Linked DNA regions of Rattus norvegicus. The protein of the gene in region 1 interacts with the protein of each later gene in a biochemical or structural test. Links are inferred from orthologs where the notes say so. Each region holds a gene or a part of one and is shown on either strand. Other genes may lie near its edges.

The links. The genes of interacting proteins can lie anywhere in the genome.
Region 2: of the proteins of Prkcb (region 1) and Rasgrp3, one has a biochemical effect on the other in vitro, tested with the Homo sapiens proteins (2 studies listed by BioGRID). The link is inferred for Rattus norvegicus from reciprocal best matches to the Homo sapiens genes PRKCB and RASGRP3.
Region 3: the proteins of Prkcb (region 1) and Rack1 form a complex in vitro, tested with the Homo sapiens proteins (2 studies listed by BioGRID). The link is inferred for Rattus norvegicus from reciprocal best matches to the Homo sapiens genes PRKCB and RACK1.

The regions. Positions count from the first base shown.
Region 1 is NC_086019.1:186,585,025-186,589,664, reverse strand, and holds the end of Prkcb (protein kinase C beta type), read right to left. Parts: intron 3,530-4,640; exon of another isoform or gene 3,443-3,529; intron 3,222-3,442; exon of another isoform or gene 3,098-3,221; intron 1,732-3,097; coding exon 1,573-1,731; 3' UTR 715-1,572; downstream 1-714. UniProt on the Homo sapiens protein: Calcium-activated, phospholipid- and diacylglycerol (DAG)-dependent serine/threonine-protein kinase involved in various cellular processes such as regulation of the B-cell receptor (BCR) signalosome, oxidative stress-induced apoptosis, androgen receptor-dependent transcription regulation, insulin signaling and endothelial cells proliferation.
Region 2 is NC_086024.1:25,675,812-25,680,451, reverse strand, and holds part of Rasgrp3 (ras guanyl-releasing protein 3), read left to right. Parts: intron 1-391; coding exon 392-523; intron 524-1,836; coding exon 1,837-1,984; intron 1,985-3,248; coding exon 3,249-3,422; intron 3,423-3,824; coding exon 3,825-3,941; intron 3,942-4,640. UniProt on the Homo sapiens protein: Guanine nucleotide exchange factor (GEF) for Ras and Rap1.
Region 3 is NC_086028.1:33,672,690-33,676,811, forward strand, and holds the end of Rack1 (small ribosomal subunit protein RACK1), read left to right. Parts: intron 1-428; exon of another isoform or gene 429-496; intron 497-833; coding exon 834-929; intron 930-1,232; coding exon 1,233-1,343; intron 1,344-1,561; coding exon 1,562-1,702; intron 1,703-2,773; coding exon 2,774-2,884; coding exon of another isoform or gene 2,885-2,968; exon of another isoform or gene 2,969-3,154; coding exon 3,155-3,220; 3' UTR 3,221-3,342; downstream 3,343-4,122. UniProt on the Homo sapiens protein: Scaffolding protein involved in the recruitment, assembly and/or regulation of a variety of signaling molecules. Interacts with a wide variety of proteins and plays a role in many cellular processes.

The DNA of each region.
Region 1 (4,640 bases):
GAGAAGCTTAAGGGCCTTGGGAATGTTCCTAGCTTGACTCTTGTGGGAATGTGGTCTCTGAAGTCTGATGGTATGGGAGGCTCCAGCCTGTCTATCCCACCCCATTCCAAGACATCAGGCATCCTGAATAGTCTCCAGGTCCTACTCTCTGGCTGGTTAATGCTGAAGCTAATAAAGATCCAGCTTTAACCCTTTTCTCTTGGATTCCTTCTTTAGAGCCTACTCTGAAGTGTGGGTCCTCCTTGTTCAAAGGGAACGTTTTTCTTTGAAATAGGTTTTCTTCTTTCCTTCCTTCCTTCTTTCCTTCCTTTCTTTCTCTTTCTCTTTTTCTTTCTTTTTTCTCCTTCTTTCTTTCTTTCTTTCTCTTTCTCTCTCTTTCTTTCTTTCTTTTTTTATATTGTATCTTGATGCTAGGAGAAAATTATCAGAACAGATACCGAAGTGCAAATAAACATTCCCACAAACATCTTGCAAAATGACATCAAACTGAAGAATGCACCCATCATGGTTTGGAGAGATGGTGTCTTTCTCAGAGCACACAATTACTTCTCCAACACCAGTGGTATATCTAGACAAGTCCCCACCCCACAGGCAGAACTCTGCTGGGTTCCATAGCCGTCTTCTTGGTTGAACAAAGCAGGGCATTATGGTTAATAACATCTGGACACAGATTTTAAAGCATGTGTAACAAAGTGAGTAATTTTTTTCTTTTTCTTTCTTTTTTTTCTTTTTGCATTTCAATGATGACAGAAATTAAAAAAAAAAGCAAGTAACATTTGAAATGTAATGTAGAATCAGGGTCCTTTAGGACCTTGCTAGAGTGACCATGTGGTTCTAAGAACAGTGCCAAATGTCATTCTGGAGTAGTTTGGGGGATGAGGGTACCACTATCAGACACACAGTATTAGAAACTACAGCAAGGTGACAGCACACAAGCTGGTTGCCTTCGACCCTGGAAGTGCTTTTAGATGGAAACTTGTCTAAAAGCGCATTCCTTTTTTCCCCAGGACTTAGATAATCTTCTTAACATTGAGTTAAAAAAATAAAAATAAATTTTTATTTTTAGCATGTTCTTTTCAAAGCTCCACTGCCTCCAGAACAGGCAGCGTGGAGGGATTCCCTCTAGGGCAAAGCAGCCATATACTTGGATTCAAGCCAAGCTCCCAGCCGGGAAGGTGGAAGAATGTTGCTAGCATTTGGCTCGTCTATCCATTTTGTAGGAAGGATGTAGACTGGGGGTCAGGGTAAAAATGGCAGTGCAGAGGACCAGGGAGAAAAGCAAGCATTTTCTCTCCCCTGGGGGCCTGTGAGCCGACATGCTAGGGATGCACATAGTAGGGCTCTGAGCGTGTCTCGATTATGCAGCACTTTCTACATGCCACCTGCATAATTCCATCTCCTCGAGATGCTCCAAACTACTTGAGGACATTTGGGTTCTGAAACATGGCCACTCTAGCCTCATCAGAAAAGAAAACACGGATGTAACTTGGCAATGGAAAAGAAAAAAAATGTCACCATGATAGCTGTTGAGCTTGAATGACAGAAATGAAGGACGGAGGTCTACAGATCTACTTAGCTCTTGACTTCGGGTTTTAAAAATTCAGAGTTAACAAAGGAAAATCCTTCGAATTCTGATTGGTCAATATTCCTGATGACTTCCTGGTCAGGAGGTGTTAGGACTGGTGGATGGCGGGTGAAAAACCGGTCGAAGTTTTCAGCGTTTCGCCCACACTATGAGAGGGGGAGAAAAGAACTTGTGGTGGGTGGAAAAAAAACAAAACAAAAATAAAAGCCAAAATAAAACAGAACTGAACGGAACCGGGTGTGGTTTTTCTCCAATCCCTTCCCTTCCGGAAACGCAGAGAGGCTGTTTCAATGATCCGAAATGAGAGCAATGTAAAATGCAAAATTCTCATGACCTTTGCTACACGACCTTGGGCTCCCAGCTTTTGGGTGCTGAATCTCTCAGGTCACTCCTGGTTTCCTTTTGGGAAGTCAGGAAAGGTACACCAAAGGCATGAGGAGGTGGGGCTAGCAGCATGTGGCATGTCCCCACCGAGTCACCCACCCCCAATGAGTCAGACAAGGCCATCTGTTGAAAGACATGAGATTAAGGTACTTCCCATCTTTAATGGGTGTCAGATGTCAAATAATGACATTCATACATCACCTGGAGAGCTCAACATTTATAGCAGCAGATCCCTTAAAGTGCCATCCTGCTGCTCTTGATCAGGAACTATAGTTGCTTCTAGCTCAACAGAATATAGTTTTCAAAATCAGCCAATGGAGGAAGAACCCAAACATAAGCTCTCAGTGTCACCACAAAGTCCCAGATAGCTGGATTAATCATTGGCCCTTAATTACAAGGTTCCAGAAGGTAAAATCACTCTCTCTCTCTCCAAATAGGAAGACCTGGTGTGGAAGGAAATTCGCATGCACACGCTAAACTCCTGCCCAAGGAGAGAGATGAACTACTATATCAGAGTTCTTGCTCTTGTTGCGTTCCCAGCATAGCCCATGTGCACAGACACCCTCAGGATTCTAGTGTTTACAGGAGGCGTTGCCGTTTGAATGTTCAGTGTCTCCCATATGTGTGAGGGTTCAGACACTTGCTCCTCAGCTGATAACATTGTTTTGGAAAGTTGTGACAGGCTTAAGAGGCGGAGCTTTGCTGGAGGAAGTGAGTTATTAGATGCAAGCTATGAGGTATCATACTCCGGCCATACTTCCTGTGTGCTCACTGCGTCCTAGCCACTGATGGGCTGTGACCAGCCACCGCACACTCCTGCTGCTTATCAGATATTTGATCGCGACGATGAGGAAAGTAAGTTATGCAGGAGGCAACATCAATCTAATTCTATTACAGTATCAGTCATAATAATGGTGGGTGATCTGTATTGTGTGTTTGCCACAGCTGGGCCCCCGGCACAAGACTTCACCCACATTATCTCTCAATGGCCTTAGGGAGTATATCATTACTGTGACTTTATTGAATGTGGAGTTCTATGTTTGAGGAACTGGTCTCCAGCTGCAGGTACTAACTTTAGAGGTTACAGAAACTTTGGGATTGTGGCTTAGCGAGTGGAAGTGGGTCACTGGGGGATTGAGGGCAGGCCTTGAAAGTGAGATACACTTCTGCTTAGGTCTCCACACTCTGCCTCCAGCCCACCATGATGTGACCAGCTACCTCACACTGCTGCTGCCGTGTCTTCCACATCAAGGTGAGCCAATATCCTCAGGAACTGTGGGTCGAAACAGACCTTTCCTCCCTTAAACTGCTTCCACCAGGGATTTAACATGGTATCAGAAAAAGGAACTGGGGTTGGGGATTTAGCTCAGTAGTAGAGCGCTTGCCTAGCAAGCCCAAGGCCCTGGGTTCAGTCCCCAGCTCCGGAAAAAAAAGAAAAAGGAACTAATGCAAATATTATCTCCCATTTCATAGATGTGGAAACTAAGGCCAGGAAATCAACTCCCCAAGGTCAAACTGCTAGCAATCACAGTGCGGGATGTGGAGCTGGATCCACCTACGGTGAGAGCCATGTTCTCTGCCCCCACGTTTACTAAGACAGCTGGTACAAAGTGGTAGACTGGAAGGTGTGGTGGGGCAGAATTGTGAGTGAAACCGTGGGTGCTGAGGTCTCTGCTTTGATTGACAGAGAATATGGTTCTCTCAACAGCAGGGCCAGGATGTGGGAAAATTCAGAAAGATGGTGATTTCCGTTTTGAGATATCATGGTTTTGAGAGGCCAGCACCCGTCTAGCTGAGAACCAGAGGGAGTCAGGTGTTGTTGGGCTCTGGGGAGAGAACTTGAAAAGAAACCTTTCAAATTGGCACACTGAGGAAGACATGGTGGATAATAACAAGAATGACCACCAGCCACTTCCCATGCAGCTGGCATGCACCGCATGGCTTTGTTCACGGCACCCTTTAAATCCATAAGGATAATCCTTCTAGGCACAGGTTTTCCTCCTACTGCCAATGATTAAACTTCCATCAACACTGTCTTAGAGCAAGCAGGGGAACCAGGAGAGAGCAACTCAGATATGCTAAGGACTGAGAGAAGCCACTTTGGGCAGATGCACTTTGGGCAGGAAAGTTTGCTGAAAAGGAGCCATTGAATTTGGCCTCTGAGAGCGAGCAGAAGGGACACTGGGGACTGTCACTGAGCTCCTGTCATCAGGAGAGTGAAGAGTCTCCACAGAGCCTTCGCAAAAGGGATGGGATGGGCACTCTGAGGAAGCCAGAGCTGAACAGAAGAGAGCTCTGGGTTCTGTGCCCTGCAACAGGGATCAGAACCTTGGCATCTGATTGCTTACTGGCTGAACAACTCCGAGGACATTTCCTCTTGTGTAAAACAGGGACAACTGTGGGTCTTCTCATGTGGGGTTGTGGTGATAACAACATGAAGTGACATGTGTGACAAGGGCCTGGAACTGTTTTCTTGTTTCCTTTGTGAGTCATCCCCGCAGTGCATGCTTCTGACAGGGGTTAGTTCCGAGCTACTCAAGTTTTAAATCCCGAAGACACAGGCTTGAGGTTTTAAAGCTCTTGTTAAAGCTCACATCTTTGTGAGGCTGGAAAGACGACTGAGTTCGTAAAGAGCTTGTCACTCAAGCATGAGGGTCTGAGCTCTATACCC
Region 2 (4,640 bases), on another chromosome or scaffold:
CTTTGTAATTGTTAGTTCTTTGTTCTTGGTGAGTAATGTAAATTTACCTTATGAACTAGAGGTCAAGTAGGGGCTAATGCCTCAGGGAATAAAACCAGCTCACTGCTCTGGTAGAGTCAGTGTTTTCTACTCCTTCACCATATACATTGCCATAAATTGGGAGGAGGAGTCTCTCAGCTATGTTCTGTAGTAAGTCATGAAGAAGTTAGGGTTTGCAGGATCTTGGTTCTTGAAGGAACAGAAAGACTCACATCAGGATTACTGGGGATAAGAGTTGTCAACTTGGAAATATGGTACTAAACTCAGTGTTATATTCAGTTTATAGAATAGTCTCCAAGTGTGGACCAAGTGAAACCTTCCAGCTGACAAAAGTCCTTTCTATACCTTTCAGGTACTGGATTACAAAATTTCCTGCAGAGTTTAATTTGGATCTTGGTTTGATTCGCATGACTGAGGAGTTCCGGGAAGTAGCTAGTCAACTAGGATATGAGAAACACAGCAACCTCATGGACATATCCAGCATGTAAGAGTGGCACTAGTCTTTTGATCTCTGTGGGTTCACTGCTTTGGGGAAAGGGTAGTAATGACCCTGCTTGACTGGAATCACTACTGTTCTAGAAGGAAGCTCCTTCTTTGGAGATAGCCTGACTACAATGAACACAGCTATACCAGATACACTCTATCTCTCCAAGCTGTAGTTTGTTTGGAAAATGGCATGGCATCTTTGTGGGATCGTTATATGTTTTAAAAGTACACAAGAGAACCCAAGAAAATTTGGCACACAGTAGATACTGAATACTTACTTCTTAACTCTGAATTTAGTCAATTTCTCCTATGCCTTAGCTACTCAGATCACCACACTGGTTTCTCCTAGGACTCCATCAGAAAATAGTCTTGGGTCTTGCCTAAGCCCTTGGATTGGGATTTATGCCTTAACAAGATCTCCTTGTGATTCATACTTGCCTTTAGGTCTGAGGCGCTCACTACCTTAGTGCTTCAGAGGCTCACCTGAAGTTCCACAAATGTTGACCATAGTTGTATCCCTGACTGGTTATTTCATTAGGGACTTAATACTAATTAGACTCATTTAATACAGACCAGCTAACTCTGCCAGGGAAAGTGTTTTGACCCTAAGTGTGATTGTCCATATTCCAATTATATATTCTATCGCAGGCTGGTCTGAAATTCAATATGTAACCTAAATTGTCATTGAATTTTTGATGATTTTTTCCTGTCTTGGCTTCCTGAGTGTTAGGATTACAGATCTATGTCAAATAAACATATTTTCTGTCTTAGGTATTCTCTTTGCCTGGAATGTTTCTTCAAATCTGATAATAAATGACCCAGGATTCACCAGGGATGCTTGTTTACAATGCCTGTCATTCAGGTTCATTTCTAGTAAATCAAAGTCTCTGGAAGTGAGATATAGGCCTTTGTCTTTATAATGAGTTTTCCAGATAATCCATATGATGTTCAGGTGTGAAAAACGAAATCCTGGCTGTTTCCAAGAGCTTTGAATCACCATCTATATGCCAACAAACTTCTGATTTTATAGGCCTAACCCTGATCTTTTCTTTAGAGTTCGGATCTTGCTTGGTCACAAGAAGTATCAAGTGAGAGATTTAGGATGGATCAGGGCAAACCTATCGTGCCTAGACAAAACAACTTCAAGTCTCTTGGCAAAGGGTGGATGGTTTTCTCTTCAAATATGGAGGACAGGGCCTGTATTTCACACATGCTTCTGGCAGTAGGCCAAGAGTTAGTCAGTAGGTTAATATCTTCCACTGAGTGAAATGCATTTTCGGCACGCTGACCAGACTTGTTCTTCTTTCACAGTCCTTCCTATGACTGGATGAGGAGAGTCACGCAGAGGAAAAAAGTATCAAAAAGGGGAAAGGCCTGTCTCTTATTTGACCATCTGGAGCCCATTGAATTGGCTGAGCACCTCACTTTTCTGGAGCATAAATCTTTTAGAAGGATCTCGGTAAGGAACTTGACGGTTATTCTTCCAAGGGTAACAAGCAACGTGCCAACTTTCCCAAGAGCTATGTGTTCATACTCCCAAGGGTTGGCAGCCTCTGCCAGTGGACTCTGTTGGAAATGTGCCCTCAATTCACAAGAACAATCCTTTTTAACCAAATATAAATATTATCCTGTCTTTAGTTTATGGCTCAGGAGCTATATTTCTGCCGCTATGTTCAATGTCTCCTTTCATAGAATTAAAGCATGATTTTTCTAAATATTCAGCAGAGACTTAACCATTCAACGTTTATTTAGTTTGAATGAACTCCTCCAAGTGAACAGTTTTGCTGGACCTTTTATTTATGGCGGTGAGGGTTGGGAGTGAGTTAACTTACTTTAGTATCTATACAATGCCTAACTATGAAAATAGGTGGAGAATTAAGAGTTGTAGGCTTTGAGGAGGTCTCAACATTAGACGGTCTCTTTCTCAGAGATGGAAGTCCTGACTTAGACTTTCCGCCCTATGCATCTTTTCTCTTCTCCTTTTCCCTTCTGTTCTCCTTCCTTCCTCAGCTACAGTCTTAGCAAGCCACCCTTGTCACGATCTACTGCTTTATATTACTTCCATCAAGCAGTTACTTTGATGTATCTCACGCACTCAGGTGAAATCAACCCTTCCCAAGGACCCTGACGTAAATCACACCAAGAAGCAAGATGACTGTTGGCTAGAACATGGATTTATTTCCTTCTATTTTTTAAAGCAATTTTTTCTTTTCTCCCCTTTCCCCTTGAAATACTAGAAGCTTATTGTTTTTTTTTTGAGAGTATTATATTCCATCCATTTCCTGTTCTTTAATGTGTGCCATTGTGTCTTAAATGTGCTTGTTCTTTGGCGTCACTGGTATAACTGAAAATGGCAATCCTAGTTCTTTTGTAGAAATACTGGACCTGTCTGATTCATTAATTTTCCTGGGATAATGGGCTACATAGATCTTAGGGTTCAGTAAGCTTGGAATTCTCTGGAATATAACTTTACATTTTTCCCCTTCTTCCGCCTCCTCTAAAGCACAGTGATTTGTGTGTTTGTATCTGAGTTTTGAAATGTAGTAAGATAGCCTGTTAGAGGCATATAGGATTGAACTTGAAAGAAACCTTTATAAATGCAAAATGGAAGAAATCGCCATGTTGTTATGAAAGGCTAGCTTACTACTTTTATCCAACTGGGTAAAGTTCAATATTGTGAAAAGTCCATTGTAGTTCAGAATCTCTCGTTGTTCTTTTCCCAGTTCACAGATTATCAGAGCTACGTCATTCATGGCTGCCTGGAGAATAACCCGACATTGGAGAGATCTATTGCCTTATTTAATGGAATCTCTAAGTGGGTCCAATTGATGGTTCTTAGCAAACCAAGTGCTCAACAAAGGGCGGAAGTCATCACAAAGTTCATCAATGTAGCACAGGTTTGCGCTCATCACAATCAGACCAGGGTTGGGAATTCTGTATATTTCATTAATTGTATTGAGAAAAGTTGTTGAGGAAATTGGTGTTAGCAATAGAACGGCACTGGACTATTAAACCATGCATGGCTATCTAATGAATAAACTACATTCCTCTCACATAGCAAGATTGTTTCTAAAAGACAATGCTTAGAAGCACTTGATTGTGTTAATGACTGGTATTGTATTTTTAGAGAATTCAACTTTCATTTAATCTTAAACCAATATATTGTTTTTCTCTATATTCTTGTTATTAAAATTGTGCTTGTGTTCCTGTAATTTGAGAAATTCAAAACAATTTTTCAAAATCCTTACCAAGTATTAGTGTTAATGGTTTTTGTTTGCTTGTTGTTTTTTTTTTTCCAGAAACTCCTTCAACTAAAAAATTTTAACACCTTGATGGCTGTGGTTGGTGGCCTTAGTCACAGCTCCATTTCCCGACTCAAAGATACCCATTCTCACCTCTCTTCTGAAGTTACAAAGGTATTGTGGATTTTTATCTGAATTCTAAGTAGGCATTATAGATTGCAGAGATGTGCTCTGATGCTGGCATACATTATGTAGGAGGGTAGAATTTTTATCTTAAACCAATGCAAAGTTATATATAGGGTACAAAATAGAAAGGGAATAGCCCCATCGGCCGAGCCTACCCATAAAACCGCATTGCTGCTGCTGGTGTTACCTAAGAATGTTCTGTCCGTGCTGGTGAGATGGCTCAGTAGGTGAGGATGCTCGCCGTCAATCTGGTGACTTGGGTTTGATCCCTGGAACCCATGTGTGGAAGAAAAGAACTTATTCCCAACAGTTATGCTCTGATTGGTGATTGTACGCTGAGCCATGCAATGCCCCACCCCAGTAAGTAAATAAATACAAGAAGAAGAAGAAGTTGTATCTAATCAAAGATGAATATATTATAAATGTCACCAAATATGTATGCAGTGCTCGCTACGCGATCAGCACTCCGATAAATGTGGAAGATACCGGATGAGTAAAATTAATACCCAGAGTTCTAAAATGGATTCACTGATGCCTACTCTAGTCACAACACTGTAGCACATGGGAGATGCAGAGGAAGGGGAAGCAGGAGGTCTTATACAGAAATATTCAGACTCATAACTGAGCTGCCACCAGCAAAAGCATGTGCCTTTAAAAGCCCATTCACTGCTATTAGTAATGTAGCAG
Region 3 (4,122 bases), on another chromosome or scaffold:
ACTGTGTGGTCCTGGTGGCCTCAGGTGATCTGATTCCTAGGTGTGTACTACTACCACCTGGCACTTTCTCTTGTGTATTGTTAGCCCTGTCTGGGATTTTGTTTTTAAACTTTGTGTGCCTGCTACCTTGTGACTGGACTGGCATGGGGCTCAGAGGAGTTGGAGGGATTGTTTGTTTGTGGGTTTCTGTGTAGGTAGACCTGCATGAGATCATGTGCTTCCAGACTGCTGGGGTTAAAAGGCCTTCTTTTCCCCCTTTAATCCCATATTAGGTTGAGCTGTGGAAACCCAAACCACGGCATCAGTTGGGCAGGGTCTTGGCACATGAGCAGATACCCAGATGTCTCTCATAACTGCCCTAAGGTTTAAATGATCTTAAGTCTCTCACCTATCTCCTAGAGATGTGTTTGAGGGGTTACAAGCCAGGCCCAACAGTGATGACCACAACATGCCATCTGAGTTGCTTTGCTGAAATCCAGAGGCTGTTTCTGAGCTGTGCCTGGTCCTGTGCTCCATGAGTAATGAGTGGGTGAGCTCTGGGGTCACCTTAGGACTCAAATGTCAGCAGGCTTGACAGGTGGCTTTGCCCCTGGTCTGTTGGCCTAAAGATTGTGCTTCTGAGAAGGGAGTGCAGGAGTGCCGTTGCCCCTCTTAGGGAAGTGTAGTAGAGATCTGTAATCTGGGAAAAGCTGCCGCCTCTTTTTTTTTTTTAAAGATCCATTCATTTATTATATATAAGTACACTGTAGCTGTCCTCAGACACACCAGAAGAGGGCATCGGATCTCTTTACAGATAAGCTGCCGCCTCTTAACCTTCCCCTGCATCTTTGTAGGATGAGAGTCATTCAGAATGGGTGTCTTGTGTCCGCTTCTCCCCGAACAGCAGCAACCCTATCATCGTCTCCTGCGGATGGGACAAGCTGGTCAAGGTATGCTTGCAAGGGAAATACGTTGCCATTCCTCTCGGGGAATAATGCGTTCTGACTTGGGATATTCTGAAGATTAGTTTGGCTGTGGCTTTTGGTGGTTGATCTCAATACTTTAGGGATGTGGTTTGTTTTTGAGGCCTGGTTTCATTCTGTATCCCTTACTGGCCTGCCATCCAAACAATCTCAGTCATTGAAGTATTGGGACTGTATAGGCCTGCACAGCATGCCTGTTGAGTGATCCCTGTACCCTTCTTGTTGAGTGTAGACCTTTGTCCTGGTCACCCACGGAGTCCTGTTTTGTAGGTGTGGAATCTGGCTAACTGCAAGCTAAAGACCAACCACATTGGCCACACTGGCTATCTGAACACAGTGACTGTCTCTCCAGATGGATCCCTCTGTGCTTCTGGAGGCAAGGTATTTGGGGCTTGTCCTCTCCTTTCCAGAGGCTTTTCTCTGGTAGCATGCACTAAAGTGGGAAAGTTTCTAAGTACTACCTTGAAATATGTAGAAAAGTATATTAAAGATGATTGCTTTTTAAGTTGGGGTTTTGGCACAGAAAGGTATCGTGCATTAGAAGAAAGGACTTAGAGCCATGAACACTATACCTAACTCAACCTTTTCTATCTGCCCAGGATGGCCAGGCTATGCTGTGGGATCTCAATGAAGGCAAGCACCTTTACACATTAGATGGTGGAGACATCATCAATGCCTTGTGCTTCAGCCCCAACCGCTACTGGCTCTGTGCTGCCACTGGCCCCAGTATCAAGATCTGGGTAAGTGGTCTGTTGCGCATAGTCATTGACTTGACTAGTAGAAATCAACCTTTCTCAGATACCATCTTTAGGTTGCTATCAGCACCCCCCTTAACAGTTTGCAACAATGGCTGACATCTGCCTAATGAAAAGTAATGCCCATGTATAGCAGCAGTTTATTGAGTGTTCTAATTGCCATTTGGGCCAAGGTAATTCTCTTGTGAGAGGCTTTTTTGACAGTGCAGGTGGCATCTAGCCACCAGATAATTAGGAGTTAAGCAGCTGCCATAAATCATGAAGGCAACAAGTGTAGAGCATTGTATGCAGTAGAGCATCCAAATTCAATTCCTCGCAACATTTTAGAAAAGTCCTTCCTGTGCTGCTAAGTATCCACTTGGATTCAATTCTGTAATCTTTGTCACAGGATTTCTAAACTAAAAGACAAGTTCATACTGTGTAGACTGGCCTCAGGGAGATCACAGATAATAGCCTGCCTCTTAATCTCCTGAGGGTAGAATTAAGAGTATGCACTACTATATTGAACTGTTGGTAGTGTGTATAAATAGCATTTAACTTTAACTGTTTTGAATCCCTTTTGATTTTGCGCCTTACACATTGGTAGCCTTTCCAAGGTAAAAGTGGCACCCTTTTTAGTTGGTAAAGCACATTTTTGTTGGTGGATGGGTGGTGCACACCTATTTAAAGAGAAGTCATTTGCAGTAAGTTGGCAATCTTGCCTCAATCTCCCAGGTAGCTCAGATTATAAGCCTGAGTCATCAGGACCTGATGATTGATTTTTGCTAGTGGAGTATAGGGCCAATACTCAATATATCCTTGAAAGAAAAATAACCCTTTTAGACAGAAATCTGAGTTGTAAACTTTAAAAAAAAAAGTTCGTTGTCTGGTTATATACATGTGAGTCCCAGCTAGCCTGCCCATAGGCAAATTTTTCTCAGTTGTTTCTGGGTGAAACTTAAGTTGCCAAGCAAGGAGCTTTCCCATGGAATGCCATCTTGCTAGTTCTATTGAAACGATTCTAAGAGTTGTTATTTGAGTAGTGGGTGTCCTTATGGGTTTTGGTCTGTTCCTCAGGACTTGGAGGGCAAGATCATTGTAGATGAACTGAAGCAAGAGGTTATCAGCACCAGCAGCAAGGCAGAGCCACCCCAGTGTACCTCTTTGGCTTGGTCTGCTGATGGCCAGGTAAGTGTATTTGGCCCTTCAGCTCAGTTCCCCAGCTTGTCTCCCTTTTTCTTAAGTTTAGGCACAAAACTAAGGTCAACATAAAATGAAATCAAATCAGGTTAATTTAGGATGGGAAAAGATTATGGTAATGGAGTTTTTAAACCTGGAAGCTTAAAAATGTCTGAATGTGTAGCAAGCTGCTTTTAACATGAAAGAGGGGCCCTAAATTCTTTGGACTACAGAGTTCATTGCTGGGTGCGACATGACCCTGTTGTTGTTTTCTTACAGACTCTGTTTGCTGGCTATACCGACAACTTGGTGCGTGTATGGCAGGTGACTATTGGTACCCGCTAAAAGTTTATGACAGACTCTTAGAAATAAACTGGCTTTCTGAAATTGGCCTCTATATGTGAGTCCTGGGAGCTGAGCCCTGTTTTACAAGAGCACCCCATGCTCTGAACCACTGAAACATCTTTTGAGATTGGGTCTTGAAAGAAATGAGTAAACACATCAGCTGTCCATATCACTAATAGGTAAAAATCAACTTGGTCTTCTGTAATTCTGGAAGTTTTTATTTTTTTTTTTACTAATTCTAGTGGGTAGGCCTCATCACCTCATATTCATATGCAAACATAGCAATTCAGAGCAGACCTGGAACCTCAATCCCAGGCTGCTGATAACCAGAAACCTGATCCTGAATGGAGCAAGTGTGAAAACCTGAGCTGGTTCTGCATGTTGCAAGGCAAAATGCACTTAGAGACAGTTCTATCAGAAAACATAGAGTCCACAAAAGAAGCAAATAAACACTTTTTTTATTTTTTGCAATACAACCCACTTTCCCTCCCCAAGAACATGGACTGACCTCAGCCACCAAAGCAGAGGACAAAAGCTGTTGCTGTGTCAGAAGGCAAGGGGTTACTAGAAAAATAGATTATACCCAACAGTCTCCCAAGGATCCAGACCCCTGTCCCGAGCTCCCCTAACAGGGCTAACCACATGTAACTAAAAGGCATGGAGAGGCCAGAAACCTCACTGAAAAGGGAAGAGAGCCTGGCAGTGAAGACTTGGGCTCCTACCTAACGAAAAAAACTAAGATGCACAGAGAAAATAATTTATTGGGTAATGGTAGAGATGTCATGCTGACCATTCCAGATCTCACTGAAGCTAAATTCTGGCCAGTCTATGGAGGTAGAAATTGGGGGTGGAAGGAAAGCTTAAGAATTCCTACTTCCCCAAGAAAAGTAGACTTTACACAG